Linked DNA regions of Macaca fascicularis. The protein of the gene in region 1 interacts with the protein of each later gene in a pairwise test. Links are inferred from orthologs where the notes say so. Each region holds a gene or a part of one and is shown on either strand. Other genes may lie near its edges. The genes, in order: GADD45G, AFAP1L1, LRIF1, TSNAX, EEF1A1 and ARPC5L.

Region 1 (3,313 bases):
CAGCTTGGACAGGGCTCAGTGGGCCCGGCCGGACAGCTCCGTGGCCGACCCCCTCCACCGCCCTTCCCCCGCACCAGGCCAATGCAAGGGTGTGTGTGTTGGGGGAGGGGAGGAGAAAAGGGATTCAGGATCTTTTTAACCTGCCTGTAGATGGCGCCCCGGGAAACAGATACCGAACTACATCCCCTAAGCTCCAAGGGCCGCAGCCGCGGGGTCCCGGCCAGAGGGCGTCCAGTCGCGAAGACTGCGCAGCAGCTCTCTGTGCTTCCCAACTCGCGAGGCTGCTCGGCACCCGTGCGAGGAACGGGTGGAAGGGAATTACATGTAGCAGGGCCAGTACAGGCGGCGCGTACTCAGGGACCACGGAGTGGCACTCAGCCTCGACCCCACGCGCCAGGCAGCCCGGCGACCCCCACGCGCGGCGGGGGCCTGCCCACCCCACCCGGCGGCAGGTGGACAGTGTTGCTATGAAGAGAAAGCCTCGATTGTCCCTACTGCAAACCGCCACACGCCAGACCTCTGCTATTGTGCGCCCTCCATAGAAATGCAAACGAGCGGCGTGCGCCGGCAGCAATCTGCTCGCCCCTGCCCGCCCCCTTCTCCGGCGCCCCGCTGCTCTCGGCCAAGGGCGGGGAGGTGGGGTAGGATCTTCCAGCGACTACTCAATGTACACATTGAGTATGCCTGGCAGGCATTACCAGCGCGCTCCGGACGCTAGTGGTCAGCTGCAGGGGGCTGTGCCCACTGCCTTTTGCAAGCCTTTAACTGGCGTTACCTGTTTTTACCTTAATTTCCTGCTCCAATGCAACAGTCTCATAAACTTCAAATTAAAGAAAAGAAACAAATAGAAAGGTAGCAATAAAAAATGGAAATAAAATTCCTTTTGATTCTATAAAGGTGCTTTTCGCAAATTGCAGCATCATATTAGCAAACAAGGTTTTTGTGGATTGGCTTTTTTTTTTTTTTTTTTTTTTTTTTTACTTTTTCCTTTTAAGGACTTCAAAAAAAAAAAAAAAAAAAAAAAAAAAGAAAGCCAGGCGAGATGAAATCTGCAGGCTCCAGTCTGCCTGGTAACACCCCAACAAAAGCGGCAGATTTGAGGCATTGTCATCCCCCGCACCCCTCCCCACGTGGCCTTCTGGCACGAGCCGCGGGCTCGCGGTCTCATTTACATCAGAAAGCGGGTGCCGGCCAATAGGCGGGCAGCCTCGCGCCAGCTGGCGGCGCCGCACCCATCAGCCTATATAAGGACGCGCAGCGTAGCCCGGGCGCACTCGCTGGTGGTGGGCGCGCCGTGCTGAGCTCTTGGTCTCAGGGTGTTCGCCCGCGTCCCCTCCGCGCTCTCCGCTTGTGGATAACTTGCTGTTGTTTGATCGCACTATGACTCTGGAAGAAGTCCGCGGCCAGGACACAGTTCCGGAAAGCACAGACAGGTGGGTTTCAGGGCGCTGAGAAAGCGGCTGGTCAGTCGGCGACCGTCAGGGTTCTCCAGGGTGGGAATCCGCGGGATAGGAGCCGAGCCCGGGGGTGCGGGCGTCAGATCCGGGTTGGAGAGCCGGGGTGCGGGCGCCAAGCCGGGATTGGAGTGTGGTTGGAGTTGGAGAGCCAAGGGTGAATCCCCGTGGCCGGGGCTCGGGGCTCCACCGCGCCCCACGGCCGTCTCCCGCTCACTAGCTGGCTCCTCCGCAGGATGCAGGGTGCCGGGAAAGCGCTGCACGAGTTGCTGCTGTCCGCGCAGCGTCAGGGCTGCCTCACTGCCGGCGTCTACGAGTCAGCCAAAGTCCTGAACGTGTAAGTGTAGACGCGACCCAGGCTGGGAGACAGGGGCGGGGATGAATGGCGAAGAGACCGGCGGATGGGAGGGGTGGCTGCGGGAGAACTTGGTTTGCCGGTTCTGACCTTGGTCCCCGTCTTGCCCTCGCAGGGACCCCGACAATGTGACCTTCTGCGTGCTGGCTGCCGATGAGGAGGACGAGGGCGACATCGCGCTGCAGATCCATTTTACGCTGATCCAGGCTTTCTGCTGCGAGAACGACATCGACATAGTGCGCGTGGGCGATGTGCAGCGGCTGGCGGCTATCGTGGGCGCCGGCGAGGAGGCGGGCGCGCCGGGCGACCTGCACTGCATCCTCATTTCGGTGAGTACAGCCCCGTCCGGTCCCCGCCCCGGTGTAGTTCCCGCCTCGGCCCGCGGCCAGCCAGGCTGACCCTGCTCTCTCTCAGCAGAACCCCAACGAGGACGCCTGGAAGGATCCCGCCTTGGAGAAGCTCAGCCTGTTTTGCGAGGAGAGCCGCAGCGTTAACGACTGGGTGCCCAGCATCACCCTCCCCGAGTGACAGCCCGGCGGGGACCTTGGTCTGATCGACGTGGTGACGCCCCGGGGCGCCTAGAGCGCGGCTGGCTCTGTGGAGGGGCCCTCCGAGGGTGCCCGAGTGCGGCGTGGAGACTGGCAGGCGGGGGGGGCGCCTGGAGAGTGAGGAGGCGCGGCCTCTCGAGGAGGGGCCCGGCGGCGGCAGGGCCAGGCTGGCCCGAGCTGAGGACTCTGCAAGTGTCTGGAGCGGCTGCTCGCCCAGGAAGGCCTAGGCTAGGACGTTGGCCTCAGGGCCAGGAAGGACAGACTGGCCGGGCAGGCGTGACTCAGCAGCCTGCGCTCGGCAGGAAGGAGCGGCGCCCTGGACTTGGTACAGTTGCAGGAGCGTGAAGGACTTAGCCAACTGCGCTGCTTTTTCAAAACGGATCCGGGCAATGCTTCGTTTTCTAAAGGATGCTGCTGTTGAAGCTTTGAATTTTACAATAAACTTTTTGAAACAAACTTATGCTCTTTATTGAGGGTAGGGGATCTTTGTGTCGGGGGAGGTGGTGCGCAGGGTTTCAGAGGATTGCTGGAACTCCGTGGAACTGATGGCACCTGTTCCGTCTTCCTGTCGGGCAAGAATGACAGGCTCCTCCGCGCTGGCAGAGGGAGGGCATGCTGCCCAGTGCTAGGGTAGAACTTGAGCCTGGCTCCTACTTTTCTCCTTTTAGGAAGATTTTAAACTTGCAAAACAGGAGCATACTTGAGAAAAGACATCAGTGCAGCAGCTGAAGTCTTGCCTTCCAAGGCGATAACAGTGACCTCTGCCTCCCCTCCCCCTCCCTCGGCCCTCCTCCCCCTCCCTCCCACAGCTGCTTATCGGAACAGCTTGCCTGAGGCCGCAGGCTTTCCTGCACAATGAGCATCGCCTTCTGCAGGCCCTGCCCTTTGTGGTCCCTGAGGACGGTGGCAGGCTGCTTCTGCTCTTGGGGACTTTTTCCTCTTAGATGCTCTGACAA
Region 2 (3,500 bases), on another chromosome or scaffold:
GGTAACCTGGTCTTCCTAGGATTATGCTACAGTCTGCCTCTTCCCAAATAGGTAGTTGTGACTGAAAATTGCCCAAAGATGCCTCCTCCCAGGCTTCTCTTCCAGGGTGGACGGCCTGGACCCTTTAGCTATCCTCGCACAGTGCCCATGGCTAGGGTGGGGGAGGCCTCTAAAGGGAGGTCGGGCCTCCCCCGAGCCTTTGTGTGAGGATGTCTTTCTCCTCTACCCTCTACTTCAGAAGATCCTGATGCCTTTCTCTCCCTGTCCAGTGTTATAAAAGCTCCAAGGACCGGCAGCCGCATCTGAGGTTGGCACTGGATACCTGCAGCGTCATCTACGTGCCCAAGGACAGCCGGCACAAGAGGCATGAGCTACGTTTCACCCAGGGGGCTACCGAGGTCTTGGTGCTGTCACTGCAGAGCCGAGAGCAGGCCGAGGAGTGGCTGAAGGTGCGTGGCCTGCACCTGACCTTCCCACCTTCCCACCCTTTCTCTCTTCCCCAAGCCAGCCCTCAGTAGAGCTGGCTCCTGTCCCCGGAAGAGCCTCTTGCTCAGTGCCTGAGCCCAAATGCCCTGTGTGTGGCTAGGGTTTATGTATGGAAATGGGCCTCAGATGTCTCCAGGAGGCAGACTTCATGCTGGAGACCTATGTTCCTTCTAGTTATTTGAATTCCCTTTCCAAATCCTTACTGTGGGCTTGTTCAGGCTGCACTTGTATACCTCCTGGAACTGGAAGCTTAGTGTCTACAAAGGAAGCTGATTTCATCATTAGACCAGTGAATTCTTAAAACAACAACAACAATAAAGGAAAAATCCTTCCTTGCCTTGAAACGTACATCCTTGTAATGACCACCCATGGGCCAGCTTCTGCCTCTACAGCTACACGGAACAATGAGAATTACCAAAAAATGAGCACTTACTTTGTGCCATGCATTGTGCCAAGAGCTTTACATACATGACCTCATTTCTGCTTGAAAATGGGACAAAATATTATTGTTCCCTTTTCACAGATGAGGAAACTAAGACGCAGCTTTGAGAACTTATGTGACTTGCCAAAGGTCACACAACCAAAGTGATTGGAGCCAGAATTTGAAGCTAAGAAGTAAGTCTCCTCCAAAGGCCATAGGCAGGATGACATAGTGATGACATGGGAGAGGGGACTTTGTGGCACCCACACTTGAGTCAAGCCCCAGGCCTAAGGGGCACTTACTGGTTGTGTGACCTTCAGCAAATGACTTTGCCCCTCTGTGCCTGTTTTTTTCATCTGTGAAATGGTCCTTGGAAGGATTCTGGAGAGCACTCGGCACAGTGCCTGCCAGGCAGTGAGTGTGTGGCAACTGTCAGTAATTACTGCCATGATGACTGCGATGCCCCACCCCCCATTCCTTTACAGCAGACCCCCATCCCTGCACCGCCTCTACTTCACTCTGACACCGTCCTTTCCTCCTCTGATCTTCCTGCTGGAACAATGAAACCAAACACCTCCCTCCCTACCCAGCCCCTTCCTTCCTGTGATAACCAGCCCCCCTGATGGAACATTTGGTGTTTCCCATTACCTCTTTGTCTCAGGAGGGAAGGAAGGGGAGAACCTGCCTGCTGGGGGAGTCTGTACCCCTCCATGGACTGGTGGGGTCGGCAGACGGAGCCCTAGACTGGAGTTAAAAGAGACCTGCCTTGACATTGATCCCGGGCGGCAGTTAGCCCAGAGGTTAACAGTGGGCAGCTGAACTGCCTGCATTTAGTTTCTGGCTCTGCTGCCCCTAACAGGTGGCTTCCCCTCTGCAAGGCTTGTCATCTTAAGCTGTAACTCAGGGGTCACAAGGCTGCTGAGGGATAAAATGGGATAATCCACAGAAAGCCACCAGATAGGTGAGCAACAAATGGTGGCTGTGATTATTTCCTGATCTCATGCTTATTGCTGCGTGGCCTTGGCAAGTGAGTGGATGCCTTTAGGAGATAGAGGTGATAACTCCAGCTGCCCTACAGGTTGCTGTAAAGGTGCGCGTGGTCACAGAAGCAGGTCCCTCACGCTTGTGAGGCTTTATGGTTCCCATCACTCTTCACATCTGTGGTCCCACTGTCCTCAGGCAACCCAAGGAGGAAAGCAGAGGACTAGTATCATTCCCATGTTGCAGATGTGGACACTGAGACCCAGAGCAGGGAAGTGGCTCTTCCAAGACCACACAACTAATTAGCAATAAGCCTCTTGGTCCCCATCCTTGTATCTTTTCAACCCAGGGGACAGATATGGGAGAAACACTTTACAAACCCCAGTGTGCCCCATGCATGTGCAGGTGGCTATGTCAGCCCATCGCTTCCCCACAGTGGCCCTGACCCTCTGTTCTACAGCATTCACCACACAGACCCCATTCTTCCTTTGCATCGACAGCTTCCCTGCCCACCCGTTCACAGCCGTGTGTCCTCTTCACAGGTCATCCGAGAAGTGAGCAAGCCAGTTGGGGGAGCTGAGGGAGTGGAGGTGCCCAGATCCCCAGTCCTCCTGTGCAAGTTGGACCCGGACAAGGTATATCTGTCTCCACTAGGTCTTCCCCGGGCCAGGCAGTGGCCACTCAACACAGGCTCAACCCCAGGGGAACTCACTGGCTGGGGGAAAAGCCGGGCAACTGCCAAACTGTAGGTGACCAGCACAGAGCTGGCACAACAGTAGGTGCTTAATAAATGTCTCCTGAATTCATGAATGCATGAACAAACGAGTGCCTGTGCCCAAAGTGCAACACAAACCAGAGGAGGGAGTGACGCACCTGCCAGGACAGGAGGAGGTCACGTTGCAATCGTGCCATGAAAAATAAGTTGAAATTTGTCAACTAGAAAAGGAGGGTATATAATCCCAGCACTTTGGGAGGCCAAGGCGGGCACATCACTTGAGCCCAGGAGTTCAAGACCAGCCTGGACAACATAGTGAGACCTCATCTCTAAAACACAAAAATTACAAAACTTATAATTTTTGGTGTGGTGGCACATGCCTGTAGTGGTGTGGTGGCACATGCCTGTAGTCCCCACTACTCAGGAGGCTAAGCTAGGAGAATTGCTTGAGCCTGGCAGGTGGAGGCTGCAGTGAGCCATGATTGCGCCACTGCACTCCAGCCTGGGCAACAGAGTGAGACCCTGTCTCAGAAAAAAAGAAAGAAAAGAGAGAGAGAAAGAAGAAAGAGAAGGAGGGTGCCTGTCTGGAACATGAGAGAAGCAGGCATTAGCCAGTTGGTCAGGCTGTTGGCAAATATGTCCCAGTACCTACACATTGCCAGGTACTGTGGGTAACAAAGGGCCTTGGACCCAGGTCCTCCCCTTAAGGACATTCCAGTCGAGGGGAAGGGTTAAGACCCACAGACACGGGCCTTGCATGATGTAATCAAGGCTTGTATTTATAGACTGTGACTGCATGCCCTGCAGTGTACTAAACGCTTTATGTGTATTAACTGAGGTGATTTTCATAAGAACTCTTTGGGTGGGTACATTTTCAGAGGAGAAAGCTAAGACAGA
Region 3 (4,011 bases), on another chromosome or scaffold:
ACGTTTCCCAACTCAGCTGTTCTTGGAATCTTTCCTCCAACTCCCTTCCTCTACTCTTTTCCTTTACTACATCAACTCTATCTTCCTCCTCCTCCACCATGACTGTAAGGTTTTCCCTGGAAACAGCCCATATGCTTTTATTTAATCAGTCTTCCCATTTAGCACAGTCTACCACATACGTAGTAGGTACTAAATGAATGTTTTGTCATCAAATGTTTAAACTGTATTGATAGTAAGTGGTAAGCTAGGATATGAACCCAAGTCTCTATGACTTAAAGGTTCTTTCCACTATAGCATTCTGACTCCTACTTTGTTCTTTGACAGTAAAACCCAAATCAACATAAATTAAATGCATAGTATCACAAATATCTTCCAGATTTTTCCTTTGTACTCTAAGATTAAATTTGGATTTTACATTTTATGCGCTGATGAATTAGAGATACTTCAAACAATATATAACCATATACAATTCTGTATTATGCCACTGAAAAATTTTTAGTAAGCGGTAACTTAGGAAAAAATTAAGCTACAAATAAGAAGAAAATCATAGTCACTTAAGTTATAAAAATAAACATTTAGTACCATCAAAGATGTTACCAGAAAAATAAGAAAACTAAGCTTCCAATAAACTAAAAGGGCTGATGTTAATATTATTTACAAAATTATATTTGGATGTTTTGTTACTTAAAAACAATGGAATCAAATATGCAACCATTAACCAAAGTAAATGTCGAAGCTTCTGAAAGTCATCTGGTAAATGTCCCAAATATATGATGTAAAACCTCAATGATTTAAATAAATACATTCAACGATAATAAAAACAACGTATAAATCAATGAGTTAATGAACTCAAAATGACATATGAATGTAATTGTAATTTAAAAATCTCCAAATCCCCAAAAGGATTAGAAATTGGATAACAGAGTTAAGGGTGTACACACACACACACACACACACACACACACACACACACAGTTGTTTATCTTACTTTTTGTATTTAAAAATGCAATCGTAAAACAAATTTTCTATAAATTAAGCTAAGTCAGAAGTCATTATTCAGGTACTAAAATAAGGCAGCAGAAATTAATCATTAAAAAGTAATTCTACATTTTAATATCTACACAGGGCACTCTCTGCCCCTTCCCCCAAACTTCCACCACAAAATTAAAAAAAAAAAAGAAAGAAAAGAAAAAAACACACAAGTATACCAAAATGCCTCTTTATGATTTGAAATACAATGGTTCTATCTTGACAGTTCTTCAATAGAATTTTGGCTCATTACTATTAGTGACCATTTCCTTTTATAATACTGCTTTTAAGGAACAAACATTACTTTCGGTCTTTATTGCAATCAAGTTTTCTATTTGTAATTAAACAAAACTACTTCCTGGGCTAAAATCTGTGCAGAATTAAAGTTGTATGCTTATAATAGTAACAGCTAACATTTAAATTGTGCTTTACTATTTTCCCACATGACGTATTTTACATTATTTCATTCTCCTAATATTTAAAATATTTCTAAGTGCTATTATTTACAGACTGGAAACAGGTACCTGGCCTCACAAATGCTAACTAGCAAAGTTGAGATTAACCCCAGGTAGCCTGATTTTCTTCAAACGAAAATCCTCTTCGGCCAGTTTTGCATCTTAGTTCTTCATTTTCTTATTAGAGTCTGCAGACTCTATTTTTTCCTCATCACTTAATCTACTAACCATGTGGGAGTACAAGTGAAAACATTCTGCTTTAGCTGACATTCTGTTTCCGATTCATGTCCTCTTAATACAATTAAAAAAACAAAACTAAACTAAAATACTGATCATCTATTTTCTAACTTTACAAGAATATCTTCCTTAGAAATACTGGACTCTCCTCATGCCAAATATAAATAGCCAATGAAACGGCACTTCATTACAACCCAAAACGCTGGTCAAAAGGATTGACTTTACACGAGGATTTCTCCATTCTTACTTCTCTCTCTTCACATAAAGCTATTACTTGAAATTTTAAATATTCAATCTCCTTGTTCTAAAGCCATTTTTCTTCAATCACACACCCTTTCTGTCTCACTATTAAAATGTAACTATTTTCACTGAAGGTCCAGCGCCACCAGGGCTGCACTTCCTAATCCGTGATGGCTGCTGCGTTTCTGCGTGTGTCTGAGAATCTTCCAGAAGGTTTGAGTCACATAAGAGCGTCGGCCATCTTGGTTTTCATCTCCCGTGGAGATCTACTCCGTCCGCCTATTAAACTTGAGACGCTGGAGTCCCGCGGAGCCGGGGAGGGGCTGTGTCTGGCTCTAAAGAGGTTTTACATTTCCCAGAGGAAGGCGCTCTATGGGCTTTAAGCGCCCTGGTGACGAGCGCTTCCCGTCTGAGTGGCGCACTCTGCGGGCTCCAACTCCTCTCAAACTACACAGCGTCCGGAAACGACGGCCGACTCCACATCCCAAAGACGGACAGGGGGGCAGGCGTGGGAAGGATTCGAAACCGGTACTTACCAACGCGAGGCGCTGCCTGAATTTTCCTCTGCGGGTTTCAGGAAGACCCTCCGTAGGTTATTTGACATTTTAGTGGGGAGAAAGGGGACACCTCAGCCAAGAAAGTGGGAAGCGTGGGGCCGAGTTTCTCAATGGGGCGAGAACCAAAGCGAGGGAATGTTGGGCTGCAGTTGCCCGCAGCAACTGTGAGGGGTTCGACCTTAACGGAGGGCGACAGCGGGCTCTCCAGAGGGTGTATCCCCAAGCTTCGGAGCGAGGTCGCGCAGCCACCCAGAAACCGGAAGGCTCTTGGCGGTGGACTGCGCCCTCAGCCCTACGCTCAGAGAGAATCGGCGTGCGTCTCCGCCCCCAGAGCCTACGACAACGCTCCAGACCCCGCCGGAGCAGGCGCAGGGGGCGTGGTCTTGGTGGCACCGCCCCCAACGGGGCCTGGTCAGTGCTGAAGACTGCGTCAGACCGGCTCTGCTGCCCCGCCCACTGAAGCCGATAGCTGGAGAAAAGCTCGGTCGGGCGTCTTCCGGGGTCGTCACGTCCGTTTGCCAAGGTGACTGGCTCGCTAAAGCCCAACCCTTATGATTCAATCCAATGGCAAGTGATATTTGCTATCTTTTCTTCCGGATCAAGGAACAAATCGCAAAAGAAAGCGCTCCCGACACCTACGCAAAATAAAATGTTTCCGGGGTCAATCTTAAATTTTCTGCTTCTGTGCTCGCCGCTAGTTTGTTTTTCTCTCCCGTCAGTGCATTAAAAGACATCGGCGGGCTTTTTTGGAATCATGCACTTGTGGCTTGAGAAAACTTCAAACGCCTGCCTGTGTCCAGCGATTTTTGTTGCTGCTTCTCTGAAGGTTTCCCATTTACTCCTCTTTCCTGAAGCTTTGCCTCTATACTTAGGTAACGCTTTCCTCCAGCCCACGTTCATCGAAACTATCACTTATTGTCATAGACCTCCGTTTCTGAAGGGAGATCTTGGAGTTGCATCAGAACATCCATTGTATTCATTCAGTCATTTATTCAGCTGTCCATTGCAGTTGATGGTCTTTATCTCACACTACTTCAAAATTTTTCCTCTCAGCACTATTAATTATTCCCTCATCTTGACGCCATTGGCAATATACTTTCCTGGTTTTGCTCCTACTTTTTTGTCTACAACTTCTCAGTCTCTTTTGAAGATCTCTCCCTTTTCAAGGGAGTTCCTTACCTCTTGATAACTGATTCTCTTAATGTTTTCAAACTGTCTTGTCTCAATTACTGGTTTTATTCATACTCCTGGCTTGAATTACCACATCCACCCATTATTTTACCAGTAAACACATATGTGTCCTTGGCACTGATTTAAGTGTTTTACAAAAGTAATTTACTCCTAACAACTAATAAAAGAATGATTATATGCACATGAAGAAACGGATGCTCAGAGAGGGTGAACAAGTTTTTAGAGGTCATAGAGCTTGTGAGTGATGGAGCCAGGCTCCAAATCCAGGTTGTCTGGCCAAACACACCATGTACTTTACTACT
Region 4 (3,500 bases), on another chromosome or scaffold:
TATTTCAAAACTTCATTATAATTATTTAAATGTAAATGCTAGACTTAAATTATTTAAATTTAAATGCTAGATTTAAATTATTTAATTTTAATAAAATTTAAATTTAAATGCTAGAATAGGAAAGCCTCCAAACATGCCTAATATAACAAAAACAAAAATTGCTAAATAATCACTACTAAAAGCATTTCCATTGTATGTACAAGCATATAGTTCAACTTAACTTTACCAACAAAAATATAATTCAGCTCCAATTCTCTATCAGACCTTCTGTGATAAAAAACAAAAAAATAAATGGAGAAAGTAACATCTGGGCACCTGTCAAATTTTTATGGAAGGTTGTTTTGTATAAATTTTAAATGGCCTAAAATCAGACAGAATGTGAATTTTTCACTATAATACTTTATAAACTTGTACTTTTTTTTTTTTTTTTTGGATGGAGTCTTGCTCTGTTGCCCAGGTTGGAGTGCAGTGGCACAATTTCGGCTCACTGCAACCTCTGCCTACTGGGTTCAAGCGATTCTCCTGCCTCAGCCTGCCAAGTAGCTGGGATTACAGGCACATGCCACCATGCCCAGCTAATTTTTGTATTTTTAGTAGAGACGGGGTTTCACCATGTTGGTCAGGCTGGTCGCGAAATCCTGACCTCGTGATCTGCCTGCCTTGGCCTCCCAAAGTGCTGGGATTATAGGCGTGAGCCACCACGCCCAGCCTAAACTTGTATTTAAATTATATATTGATAGCTTATTCATTTTTAATTCTTGTTCCATGGAATAAACCTATTTTTGAGGCTTGGCACAATATTAACAAGAAATTTAAATAGGAAGCTCAAGTCCAGAAGTTTAACTAAAAAATCTTTTCTATATATAATAAAATCACCAACTTAAATTACAAATTGCTTCCACTAAAAATTATCACTCCAAACTTCAGAAAAAGTAAATTAAGACAGGTTATGGCAAAAAGTGCACTGTGAAACAGGTTCACATTACAAAGATAAATGATAAAGGTTAACCAGCAAAAATTCAAAAAGGCATATATGCAAACATCTGTATGCAAACTTTCATGAATAAGATATAAGAAATGATTCATTTCGCTAATTTTATGTACAGCTTGTATACAATTTAAAACAAGTACAACTGAATATGTTTCTATGTAAAAGCCACAATAAAGTTAAATGAAATACTAAATAAGTCTTACAAATTGGTCTCTTAGGAGTTCTCAAAAGAATTAGTAACTGAGTAATGTTATTCTAAGAAATACCCTCTTCTTGATCTATCATTTCTGTTTTAACTGAAAACACATCTGCCAACATATGTTTTGGAATTTCTGACCCTCTGACTTTCAAGGCATAACAAGCATTCTCCACTTTGGCCAAACTTTGTTTCAAGGTATACAGCTTCTTAGAGACCTCGTAAGGTCCAGTGTTGCCAATGAATGAAAACCCATCATAAACCTGACGTAAAAACTGGCTCACTTCAAAGGGGGTGTCAATGTCCCCATTCCCCACACTGTTAATACACATCCGCATCAATTCTCCAGTTAAGTCAGCCACTCCCAGAAGGTAATCGACAGGTGTGACTCTCAGTCTCCAAGTACCAAACTGCTCATCCTGTGTATCAGAAGAAGGCTGGTTTAAAAAAAAAAACAAAAGACTGTGAAAAAGAGTGAATATAGCATGTATCACATTTATTATAGAAGTACAAAATCAATAGCAAATCAGTCATACTAATTTTTTCTAAATAAAATAAATCTATTTTGCTTAATAACCATTTGGGATGTTACAGGAGGAATCTGTGCCCTGGGTAGTGAATTGAACCATATGCCTTCAAGATGCTTTTGAAATGTATCATTATGAAACCAACTATTTCCAACTCCACTTGACGTACAAAATAAAAATATTCTTAAACAAGGCTTAATAACTTTATTGCAGGACAATTACTTACTTAAATGGAAAATCATACGGCCCTCCAAGTTTGTGATCCATTAATGTTTTTCTAAGTTGCTCAGTCTTTTTCTGGCCTCTTGCCTTTCCCTACTCAGCACTGACCATCACAATTTATTATTCTCTCACTGCATCCTCAATTCCCTTAGACTGCTGTATTTTCTACTGCACCTACCCAGCAAAAACAGAATCCTCAATCAACACTAAAATCTACTCATTAGTCCTTTATTCAGGTGGCTGAGTACCACTCACCAAGTTAAAAAATGGTAATCACAACTGCAGAGTTTTTACCACTACAAATTACTCTCCAATCCTTTTACTTATCATTAGATGGTTCTCTCTCCAGCCTCTTCAAACACGATTTCAAACCTTTCACCCTCAGTGCTCTACTCAAATCCCAAACCTCTTCACTTTCAGTAGACAAGCTTGCGCAACTTCACTGACCTGGTCTCATTTGCCAGCTTACCTAGCACAATTTCTCGCAACTGCCTTCATCCCTACCAAAAAAAAAATATTTATATCCACAGCCATCTTTACCTTCTATCCTCCAGTCTCAGATGATGAGTTGTCCCTCCTCTTGTTTGAGGTTAACTCTTCCAAATGACCTTGACCCATCTCCTCCCACCTCTTCCAGGACCTTGCTTCATAAGGTGTATGCCCTTGGGCAAGTTATTTCATCTCTCTAAACCTCAGTTTCCTCATCTGTAAAATGGGATAACAGTACCTACCTCAGAGGTTTATTTTAAGGATTAAATGAGATAACATTTACCAAGTTCTTGGCATAATGCCCAACACAAAGTAAATATTCAACAAATGCTAGCTGCTATCATGATTACTATCATCATGAAATCTCTCTCCACATCAATTTCCCTCTATTGAATTCTTTCTGGCAGAGACAATGCCTAAATTGCTATTAAAAGACTGTATGTATAAAAGGGTAGTTGAAGTTTCAGTTACATCAAAGGACATTTTAGGTAGTGGGAACTACAAAGGTGTGCAGGTAAGAATTGTGCATTTGAGGAACTAATAATTCTTTTGATTCAAGTTTAAAGGAAGTTACATAAATGCAAGCTGAGAAGAGGGAGATAGCTTTCTTAAGATCACTCTTTGCTATGTATCTAATATATGACTCCTAACACTGAACTCTGCAGAGACCATCTGGTGCAACGTCCTCATCGTTTAGCATAAGAAATCAGGCCAGAGAAACATCACAGGTAATATGATGTTGAGCTATGGGAATATGATGTTGAGCTATGGGAATATGATAGCTAGTTAGTGGCACTATTGTTTCCAATCTATTTTTCTGCACATTTGAAATTTTTTCACAAAAAGTTTTTTAAATAAAGATTACATAGTTTTGACAATATTCTCAACAGGCAAGTAAGAGCAAAATACCTTTCCCAATCAAATTCCCAGAATTTTCAGCACCACGCATCTTTAGCACTAAAACTTATTTATGAACATAGTCTTAATTTGAAACGTGTGTATGAACATTATAGCCCCATAATCTTAAAATAATCTAGTACCTAAGTCCTGAAAACAGTACTCTGACTCTCAATTT
Region 5 (3,869 bases), on another chromosome or scaffold:
GGGTGGGAGAGGTCGAGGCCTTGCACTTAAGGAGTCCCTTCGCCTCGTGCTTGAGTCGAGGCCTGGCTTGGGCTCTGGGGCTGCCGCGTGCGAATCTGGTAGCACCTTCGCGCCTGCCCCGCTGCTTTCACTAAGTTTCTAGCCATTTAAAATTTTTGATGACCAGCTGCAACGCCTTTTTTCTGGCGAGATAATCTTATAAATGCGGACCAGGATCTGCACACTGATATTGGGGTTTTGGGGGCCGCGGGCTGCGACGGGGCTCGTGCGTCCCAGCGCACATGTTCGGCGAGGCGGGGCCTGCGAGCGCGGCCACCGAGAGTCGGACGGGGGGAGTCTCAAGCTGGCCGTCCTGCTCTGGTGCCGGGCCTCGCGCGGCGGTGTGTCGCCCCGCCCTGGTCGGCAAGCCTGGCCCGGTCGGCACCAGTTGCGTGAGCGGAAAGATGGCCGCTTCCCGGCCCTGCCGCAGGGAGCTCAAAATGGAGGACGCGGCGCCCGGGAGAGCGGGCGGGTGAGTCACCCACACAAAGGAAAAGGGCCTTTCCCTCCTCGGTCGCCGCTTCATGTGACCCCACGGAGTACCGGGCGCCGTCCAGGCACCTCGATTAGTTCTCCGAGCTTTTGGAGTACGTCTTCCTTAGGTTTGGGGGAGGGGTTTTGTGCGGTGGAGTTTCCCCACACTTGGTGGGTGGAGACTGAAGAGTTAGGCCAGCTTGGCGCTCGATGTAATTCTCCTTGGAATTTGCCCTTTTCGAATTTGGATCTTGGCTTATTCTCAAGCTTCAGACAGTGGTTCAAAGTTTTTTTCTCCCATTTCAGGTGTCGTGAAAACTACCCCTAAAAGCCAAAATGGGAAAGGAAAAGACTCATATCAACATTGTCGTCATTGGACACGTAGATTCGGGCAAGTCCACCACTACTGGCCATCTGATCTACAAATGCGGTGGCATCGACAAAAGAACCATTGAAAAATTTGAGAAGGAGGCTGCTGAGGTATGGGAAAGATGAACTAAAATGAGTTTTACCAGCAGAATCATTAAGTGGTAGTGATTTCCCCAGAACTAGTGAGTGGTTTAGATCTGACCCTACTTATTAAAATAGTTTGCTTTTGGTTACTTCTGTAACCGTATTGCTAGTGAGTAGTTTCGATTTGGATATTAATAGTCAAGATCCTACTTTAAAAAGTTTGCTTTTTGGTTGCTTCTGTAACCCTATCTAAGTGACTAAAATCACTTAGGACTTGCAGTTGTAAAGTGGAAACTATGTGCCAATTAAGGGCTGGGGGCAAAGAAATTGAAGCTGGAGTTTGTGTGTTAGTAACCAAGTAACAACTCTTAATCCTTACAGATGGGAAAGGGCTCCTTCAAGTATGCCTGGGTCTTGGATAAACTGAAAGCTGAGCGGGAACGTGGTATCACCATTGATATCTCCTTGTGGAAATTTGAGACCAGCAAGTATTATGTGACTATCATTGATGCCCCAGGACACAGAGACTTCATCAAAAACATGATTACAGGGACATCTCAGGTTGGTGGGATTAATAATTCTAGGTTGTTTTTTTTTTTTTTTTTCCCCTGAAATGCCTGTCTTGTGCATTGGTTTTGTCCTTTGGAGAGTTGACAGGGATATGTCTTTGCTTTCTTTAAAGGCTGACTGTGCTGTCCTGATTGTTGCTGCTGGTGTTGGTGAATTTGAAGCTGGTATCTCCAAGAATGGGCAGACCCGAGAGCATGCTCTTCTGGCTTACACACTGGGTGTGAAACAACTAATTGTTGGTGTTAACAAAATGGATTCCACTGAGCCACCCTACAGCCAGAAGAGATACGAGGAAATTGTTAAGGAAGTCAGCACTTACATTAAGAAAATTGGCTACAACCCCGACACAGTAGCATTTGTGCCAATTTCTGGTTGGAATGGTGACAACATGCTGGAGCCAAGTGCTAACGTAAGTGGCTTTCAAGACCGTTGTTAAAAAGCTCTGGGAATGGCGATTTCATGCTTACACAAATTGGCATGGTTGTGTTTCAGATGCCTTGGTTCAAGGGATGGAAGGTCACCCGTAAGGATGGCAATGCCAGTGGAACCACGCTGCTTGAGGCTCTGGACTGCATCCTACCACCAACTCGTCCAACTGACAAGCCCTTGCGCCTGCCTCTCCAGGATGTCTACAAAATTGGTGGTAAGTTGGGTGTCAACAAAGTTGAATTTGAGTTGGTAGAGTACTATCTTCCTTCATAGGTATTTAGTATGCTGTAAATATTTTTAGGTATTGGTACTGTTCCTGTTGGCCGAGTGGAGACTGGTGTTCTCAAACCCGGTATGGTGGTCACCTTTGCTCCAGTCAACGTTACAACTGAAGTAAAATCTGTCGAAATGCACCATGAAGCTTTGAGTGAAGCTCTTCCTGGGGACAATGTGGGCTTCAATGTCAAGAATGTGTCTGTCAAGGATGTTCGTCGTGGCAACGTTGCTGGTGACAGCAAAAACGACCCACCAATGGAAGCAGCTGGCTTCACTGCTCAGGTAACAATTTTTAAAGTAACATGTTCCTACCTTATTGCAGAGGCTAAAGTCATTTGAGACTTTGGATTTACACTGAACGCAAATCTTTTTTTCCAAGGTGATTATCCTGAACCATCCAGGCCAAATAAGTGCTGGCTATGCCCCTGTGTTGGACTGCCACACAGCTCACATTGCATGCAAGTTTGCTGAGCTGAAGGAAAAGATTGATCGCCGTTCTGGTAAAAAACTGGAAGATGGCCCTAAATTCTTGAAGTCTGGTGATGCTGCCATTGTTGATATGGTTCCTGGCAAGCCTATGTGTGTTGAGAGCTTCTCAGACTATCCACCTTTGGGTAAGGATGATTACTTAAACGTAAATAAGTTGTGTTAAAGATGAAAAATACAACTGTGAACAGTTTTGGTAATACTACATTTTTTTTTTAATAGGTCGCTTTGCTGTTCGTGATATGAGGCAGACAGTTGCGGTGGGTGTCATCAAAGCAGTGGACAAGAAGGCTGCTGGAGCTGGCAAGGTCACCAAGTCTGCCCAGAAAGCTCAGAAGGCTAAATGAATATTATCCCTAATACCTGCCACCCCACTCTTAATCAGTGGTGGAAGAACGGTCTCAGAACTGTTTGTTTCAATTGGCCATTTAAGTTTAGTAGTAAAAGACTGGTTAATGATAACAATGCATCGTAAAACCTTCAGAAGGAAAGGAGAATGTTTTGTGGACCACTTTGGTTTTCTTTTTTGCGTGTGGCAGTTTTAAGTTATTAGTTTTTAAAATCAGTACTTTTTAATGGAAACAACTTGACCAAAAATTTGTCACAGAATTTTGAGACCCATTAAAAAAGTTTAATGAGAAACCTGTGTGTTCCTTTGGTCAACACTGAAACTTTCAAGTTTTACCTCGCTTAGGAGAAAGACATGTAATTCTGGTTTTATGAATTTGTGGAAACTTTATGAAAATGTAGTTCTCAAGTTAACACTTCTAGGTGGAGATAAGGTTGTTTTCCTCCCACGTACTTGGAAGGGGAAGGAATCTAAGCTATGGGAGGGCTGCTTTGATTTCCACATTGGAGAGAAATGCAGCATGTTACTGATGGCCTGTCACTAAGGAAGGCCAAATGCTGTAATAGAGTCCTTGTGTTGCATAGAAAGCTTAATGTAGTTAAACCAATGTTAAGTGAATCTTTGGAAACATGAAATAGTTTCCAAATTACAGGGATGTGCGTTTTAAAACAGGTTAAAATGACTGGGCAGTGGAAGTTGACTATTTCCCCTGACATAAGAAGTAAGTAGTTGCTAGTGCACACCCTATGTGAGTGGAGGGATCCATTTTAAAGTCAGTGGAGTTAGCTTTATG
Region 6 (4,200 bases), about 100 Mb from region 1:
ATCACCTGTCATTCATGAAGCCGGCTGTCATACTTGGCTGGCTTTAGACCTTTTCAGAGAATAGGCTGTGGTGCTGGGGGAACCCTGCCCAGCCCTTGATCTCTAGATCTTCCTCAATCACGGCACAACTGACACTGTGGACCCACGATTCTCTGACGTGGGATCTCAGCTGTGGGTCATAGGCCTCTGCCCACTGGATTCCAGTGGCATCCCCAAGCTGTAACTATCAAAATGTTTCTAATTTCCTGAGGTGGAGGGGAGGGGTGCAAAATCGCTCAAAACCACTGCTCTGGCCAGAGCCCTGATCCAGAAGTCTAGAAGCTGCTTCACTGAGGGGAAAGGAACTCATACTTTTAAATCGCCACAAGGTCTCGGATCCTGTGCCTGGTGCTTTCACATGCCATCTCATTCCAAAAATCCCAGTAACAACAATCATTATCTCATTTGAAAGGCAATGGAATTGAGGCTCAGAGAACGGAAATTACCTGCACAGGGTCACAAAACTAAGCTGTCTAGATGGCCCTGGCACCCAAGCTCCTCCCACAATCCCGTGCTGCCGCTCTAGCTGCAGACCTGAGCAGACACTTGCTGTGTGCCCCCTGATGCTGATGTTAGCCCATGAGGCTCCCACAGAACCTAGGAAGCCAGCACGGCTGTCTGCCACGTCACAGAGGAGAATGCTGAGTTGTGAGAGGGTATGTGACCTATCCGAGGTCAGAGCCAGAGCATGATGGCGCGCGGTGTGCGAAGATGCACAGCCGAGTTCCTTCTACCCCATCTGCGTGATCTCCCGCCACACACACTTCCCTATATAGCCCCAGGACAGGGTCCCTCTCTGCCCTCCCCAACCCCAATCCCTCTATCCCTCTCCCTGCTCCCCTGTCCTCAATGGTCTAAGTCCAATTCTTGGCACATGATAGAGACCCAATAAATATCAGTTCCATTCTCCTCCCTACCTGGGTCCGGTATTTGCCAGGGTTTCAGTTCTCTTTATCCGCTAACCTCCCTTTCCCCAACCCCAGGTGGAACACTCTCCATGGTAACAAGGTTTCTGCCGCTGCCATGAATGGAGAAACGACCATCCCCGGGATGTGCTAAACCCAGGCCTCTAAGCAGCCTCAAGGAACCTGTCACCAGGCAGGGGAGTCCCAAGACATGACCTTCAACAAGGCTCTGCACCCAGACCAAGGCAGCAGCTGACAGGCCTGACCTCCTCATCTGTTCAATGAGGGTCCTGGGCCAAAGGCCTGACCTTGGAGCCCCCTTCAGCACTGACTCTCCATAAGCCAGGCCCTGCACCTGACTACAACCAACCTTCCCTCCTGGGGACCCTTCCCTTGACCCCATTTCATAACTAGGGTGGACTGGGGGATCCTGATGGGGCAGGAATGACAAGCTTGAATCTCCACTTCCGAAAACACATTCCTGTTCAAACCAAGTCTGAAGGTTTTCGTTTTAAAGGCACACTGAGGAGCACTGCCGGGCTCCCCCTAAAGCAGCAGGCCCCACTTTCCAAGCTGAGTCAACTGGTTCAACACCGAGAACCTGATTTATGTACAGCATGGGCCTCCAACCCTGCCCCCGCCCGTGCGGGGGGAGGGGACAGGCTTCCTGGAACACCATTTGAATAAAGAAAAATCCTTCCGGTGAGAATAAGTCAGTTTCCTGCGCTCATACTGCTAAAGGACCAAGCAAGGCTGTGACAATCACCTCTATTTTTAATCTTTTCTAAATGCTGTTTTCTGTGGCCACAAGAACAGTCATTTCCAGGCGTGGGGCTCTACTTTCACACTTCACTTCAAGGTGTCTGGTTTTTCTTAGCTCTGAACTACTAGTTCTTTCCGCTGCTTCCTGCACCAGAAGGGTACTGGGGGGAGCCAAGACTCACTTGCTGAGCGTAGCTGAGACCACCAAGGTGACCAGAGGAACCACAGGGTTTCCCTTTCTCAGCATTAAGCGGGAGGGTCAGACTGACTGGGGGAGGGGAGGCACAACCTTAGACCCCAGGGCTGAAATAGGGCGGCCGCCTCCACTCCCTCCTGGGTCCTGTCTTCCCCACAGCCGTCCACCCACCTATCTTCACGCCCTGCGGCAATCTGGCCCCGGAAGACCGCGCCCCAGCCTCACCGATCACTCGGTTACTCAGATACGGCTCACCTCCGCCCTGCCGCCGACCCAGCCCCGCCATAGGCCCGATTTCCTGCAAGGGAGGGACGGAGTGCTGGGGCCCCCAGAAAGGGACAGCGTGAGGGGACGAGGAGGCAAGAGGGGAAGAGAGCCCGGGGCGCGGGACCTGCGGGGCTACCGAGGGAGCCCGTCCACCGGGTCCAAGGGCCTGCGGGGCTGCGCTGCACAAGAAGGGGCCAGGGCTGGGGAGGAAGGACCCAGGGAGACCAGGACTCAGGGGAGCACGGCCCAGGGGAGTCAGGTCGGCAGGGAGTTGAAGGCTGACCTGAGGGGGCCGGGGGTCGGAGACAGCAGAGGCCCGCCCGAAGGGGCCCGAGAAGGTGGGAAGGCCGCGCGCAGGCCCGGACGCCGCGTCAGGAAAGGATATTGCCGCAGGAGCCCGTCCACCTCGCTCGGGTCCGGGCCTGGCTCCGCCGCCGCCGCCGCCGCCTCCTCCTGCTCGTCCACAAATTTGTTCTCATCAAATTCGTCGATGTCCACCCGGCGGAAGCGCGAGGACAGCGTGTTCCGGGCCATGGCGGGAGCTCGGCGCCCGCTCAGCCGGCTCCACTCGCGGCCCGACCTCAGCTCTGCTCCACTCGCACCGGCTCCGGCTCGGGGGCGGGAAGCGGCCACCGGGCTGCTCCCAGCACCTCCTCCACCGCCTCCGCGCGCAGCCGCCGCCGCCCGCCCACTTCCGGCACACGCCGGATCCGGAAGCGTCATCGGGGCGGGGCGGAACCTGTCCCGTGGAGTGCGGTATGGGGTTTCCGCGGCCTCAGTCTCTTTTCCGCGGAGCCTCTGTCTTACCACTGAGGAGTGGCCGCCCGGTATCCTTGCAGGCCCCGCATAGTGTGTGCCGTAATCGCGCTGGTGATCCGGCTTTCCCGCGCCTCCGAGGAACCGCTGGCCTCAGCGGGGCCCGGCGCGGGCTTCCGGGGTGATCCTTGCCTGTACGGGGGAAGACTGGGCGCCCGGGAGAAGGCTCGCGGCTCTACTTCTCGGGTGCTGGGCAGGCTTCTTGGAGAAGAAACCTTCGAGCTGATGACTGAGGGATGAGTAGGAGTTCCTGTGCCCGGGGAGTGACGCGGGAGGGGTCTGTGTCTCGGAATCTTGAACGCCGCCACACTTAGCACGAGGAGGTCGCCTTTACACAGAGGTGACCCTGTTAAAGGAGTGGGAGGCTTTAAAGACGTTTAGTGCGATCAGAGGGCTGACAAGGCGTTGAAGACATTGTGACTCGAGGGATTTTGCGGCCCCACGTGTGTAGCAGTCACCTTGACCAGGCAGTTGGGGCCCCAGGAGAGGGAGATGGCCCTGTGGCCACCGTCCTGGCAGGAGAGGCCTGGCTTGAGAGGCACATCTTGATAGAAACCAAATTCTCAGAATCTGAGATGCGGGAAAGCGGGTTAGGGAAGTCAAGGACGACTCTGAGGTGTCAGATTTGGTGCCTGGGCTGTTACCCCAGGGGTTCTGTTAATTGATCTTAGCCTTAGGGTAAGTAAAATGGGTCTTTTATATAATACTATGAAAACTGTTTTCATCTAATAGTACCCTTGTTAATAAAAGTTGGAATGTGATTCATTTTTACTGCTTCGAATACTTCTCATTGAACTGTGTCTAAAGATCAAAAAACTATTGCCAGACTATGATGCAACCTAATCTTCCGTGGTAACCAGGATACAGACTCCCATAGTGGGAAACTGGCGCTAAAGAAAAGTCTCCGCCTGTAATCCCAGCACTGCGGGAGCCGAGGCGAGCAGATCACCTGAGGTCAGAAGTTTAAGATCAACCTGAGCAAAATGCTGAAACCCCGTCTCTACTAAAAATACAAAATTAGCCGGGTGTGGTGGCGCAGGCCTGTAATCCCAGCTACTCGAGAGGCTGAGGCAGGAGAATCGCTTGAAACTGGGAGGTGGAGGTTGCAGGGAGCCGAGATCGCGCCATTGCACTCCAGCCTGAGCGACAAGAGCAAAACTCGGTCTCAAAAAAAAAAAAACAGTCTCAGGGGTCCTGGAAACACGAAAAGCCCAC

The links.
Region 2: the proteins of GADD45G (region 1) and AFAP1L1 interact in binary tests that used the Homo sapiens proteins (3 or more experiments, as listed by UniProt). The two-hybrid records come from large-scale screens. The link is inferred for Macaca fascicularis from reciprocal best matches to the Homo sapiens genes GADD45G and AFAP1L1.
Region 3: the proteins of GADD45G (region 1) and LRIF1 interact in binary tests that used the Homo sapiens proteins (3 or more experiments, as listed by UniProt). The link is inferred for Macaca fascicularis from reciprocal best matches to the Homo sapiens genes GADD45G and LRIF1.
Region 4: the proteins of GADD45G (region 1) and TSNAX interact in binary tests that used the Homo sapiens proteins (3 or more experiments, as listed by UniProt). The two-hybrid records come from large-scale screens. The link is inferred for Macaca fascicularis from reciprocal best matches to the Homo sapiens genes GADD45G and TSNAX.
Region 5: the proteins of GADD45G (region 1) and EEF1A1 interact in a two-hybrid assay, tested with the Homo sapiens proteins (2 studies listed by BioGRID and IntAct). The link is inferred for Macaca fascicularis from reciprocal best matches to the Homo sapiens genes GADD45G and EEF1A1.
Region 6: the proteins of GADD45G (region 1) and ARPC5L interact in binary tests that used the Homo sapiens proteins (3 or more experiments, as listed by UniProt). The link is inferred for Macaca fascicularis from reciprocal best matches to the Homo sapiens genes GADD45G and ARPC5L.

The regions. Positions count from the first base shown.
Region 1 is NC_088389.1:119,949,110-119,952,422, forward strand, and holds GADD45G (growth arrest and DNA damage-inducible protein GADD45 gamma), read left to right. Parts: upstream 1-1,270; 5' UTR 1,271-1,380; coding exon 1,381-1,433; intron 1,434-1,689; coding exon 1,690-1,791; intron 1,792-1,924; coding exon 1,925-2,138; intron 2,139-2,226; coding exon 2,227-2,337; 3' UTR 2,338-2,813; downstream 2,814-3,313. UniProt on the Homo sapiens protein: Involved in the regulation of growth and apoptosis. Mediates activation of stress-responsive MTK1/MEKK4 MAPKKK.
Region 2 is NC_088380.1:156,191,012-156,194,511, forward strand, and holds part of AFAP1L1 (actin filament-associated protein 1-like 1), read left to right. Parts: intron 1-269; coding exon 270-449; intron 450-2,430; coding exon 2,431-2,523; intron 2,524-3,500. UniProt on the Homo sapiens protein: May be involved in podosome and invadosome formation.
Region 3 is NC_088375.1:123,364,275-123,368,285, reverse strand, and holds the start of LRIF1 (ligand-dependent nuclear receptor-interacting factor 1), read right to left. Parts: upstream 2,801-4,011; 5' UTR 2,566-2,800; coding exon 2,498-2,565; intron 1-2,497. UniProt on the Homo sapiens protein: Together with SMCHD1, involved in chromosome X inactivation in females by promoting the compaction of heterochromatin.
Region 4 is NC_088375.1:17,518,650-17,522,149, forward strand, and holds part of TSNAX (translin-associated protein X), read right to left. Parts: intron 2,642-3,500; exon of another isoform or gene 2,477-2,641; intron 1,625-2,476; coding exon 1,247-1,624; 3' UTR 1-1,246.
Region 5 is NC_088378.1:101,525,493-101,529,361, forward strand, and holds the end of EEF1A1 (elongation factor 1-alpha 1), read left to right. Parts: intron 1-819; 5' UTR 820-849; coding exon 850-993; intron 994-1,347; coding exon 1,348-1,527; intron 1,528-1,648; coding exon 1,649-1,945; intron 1,946-2,028; coding exon 2,029-2,179; intron 2,180-2,266; coding exon 2,267-2,523; intron 2,524-2,620; coding exon 2,621-2,855; intron 2,856-2,949; coding exon 2,950-3,074; 3' UTR 3,075-3,369; downstream 3,370-3,869. UniProt on the Homo sapiens protein: Translation elongation factor that catalyzes the GTP-dependent binding of aminoacyl-tRNA (aa-tRNA) to the A-site of ribosomes during the elongation phase of protein synthesis.
Region 6 is NC_088389.1:19,195,162-19,199,361, forward strand, and holds the start of ARPC5L (actin-related protein 2/3 complex subunit 5-like protein), read right to left. Parts: upstream 2,801-4,200; 5' UTR 2,704-2,800; coding exon 2,554-2,703; coding exon of another isoform or gene 2,453-2,553; intron 2,201-2,452; coding exon of another isoform or gene 2,143-2,200; exon of another isoform or gene 67-2,142; intron 1-66. UniProt on the Homo sapiens protein: May function as component of the Arp2/3 complex which is involved in regulation of actin polymerization and together with an activating nucleation-promoting factor (NPF) mediates the formation of branched actin networks.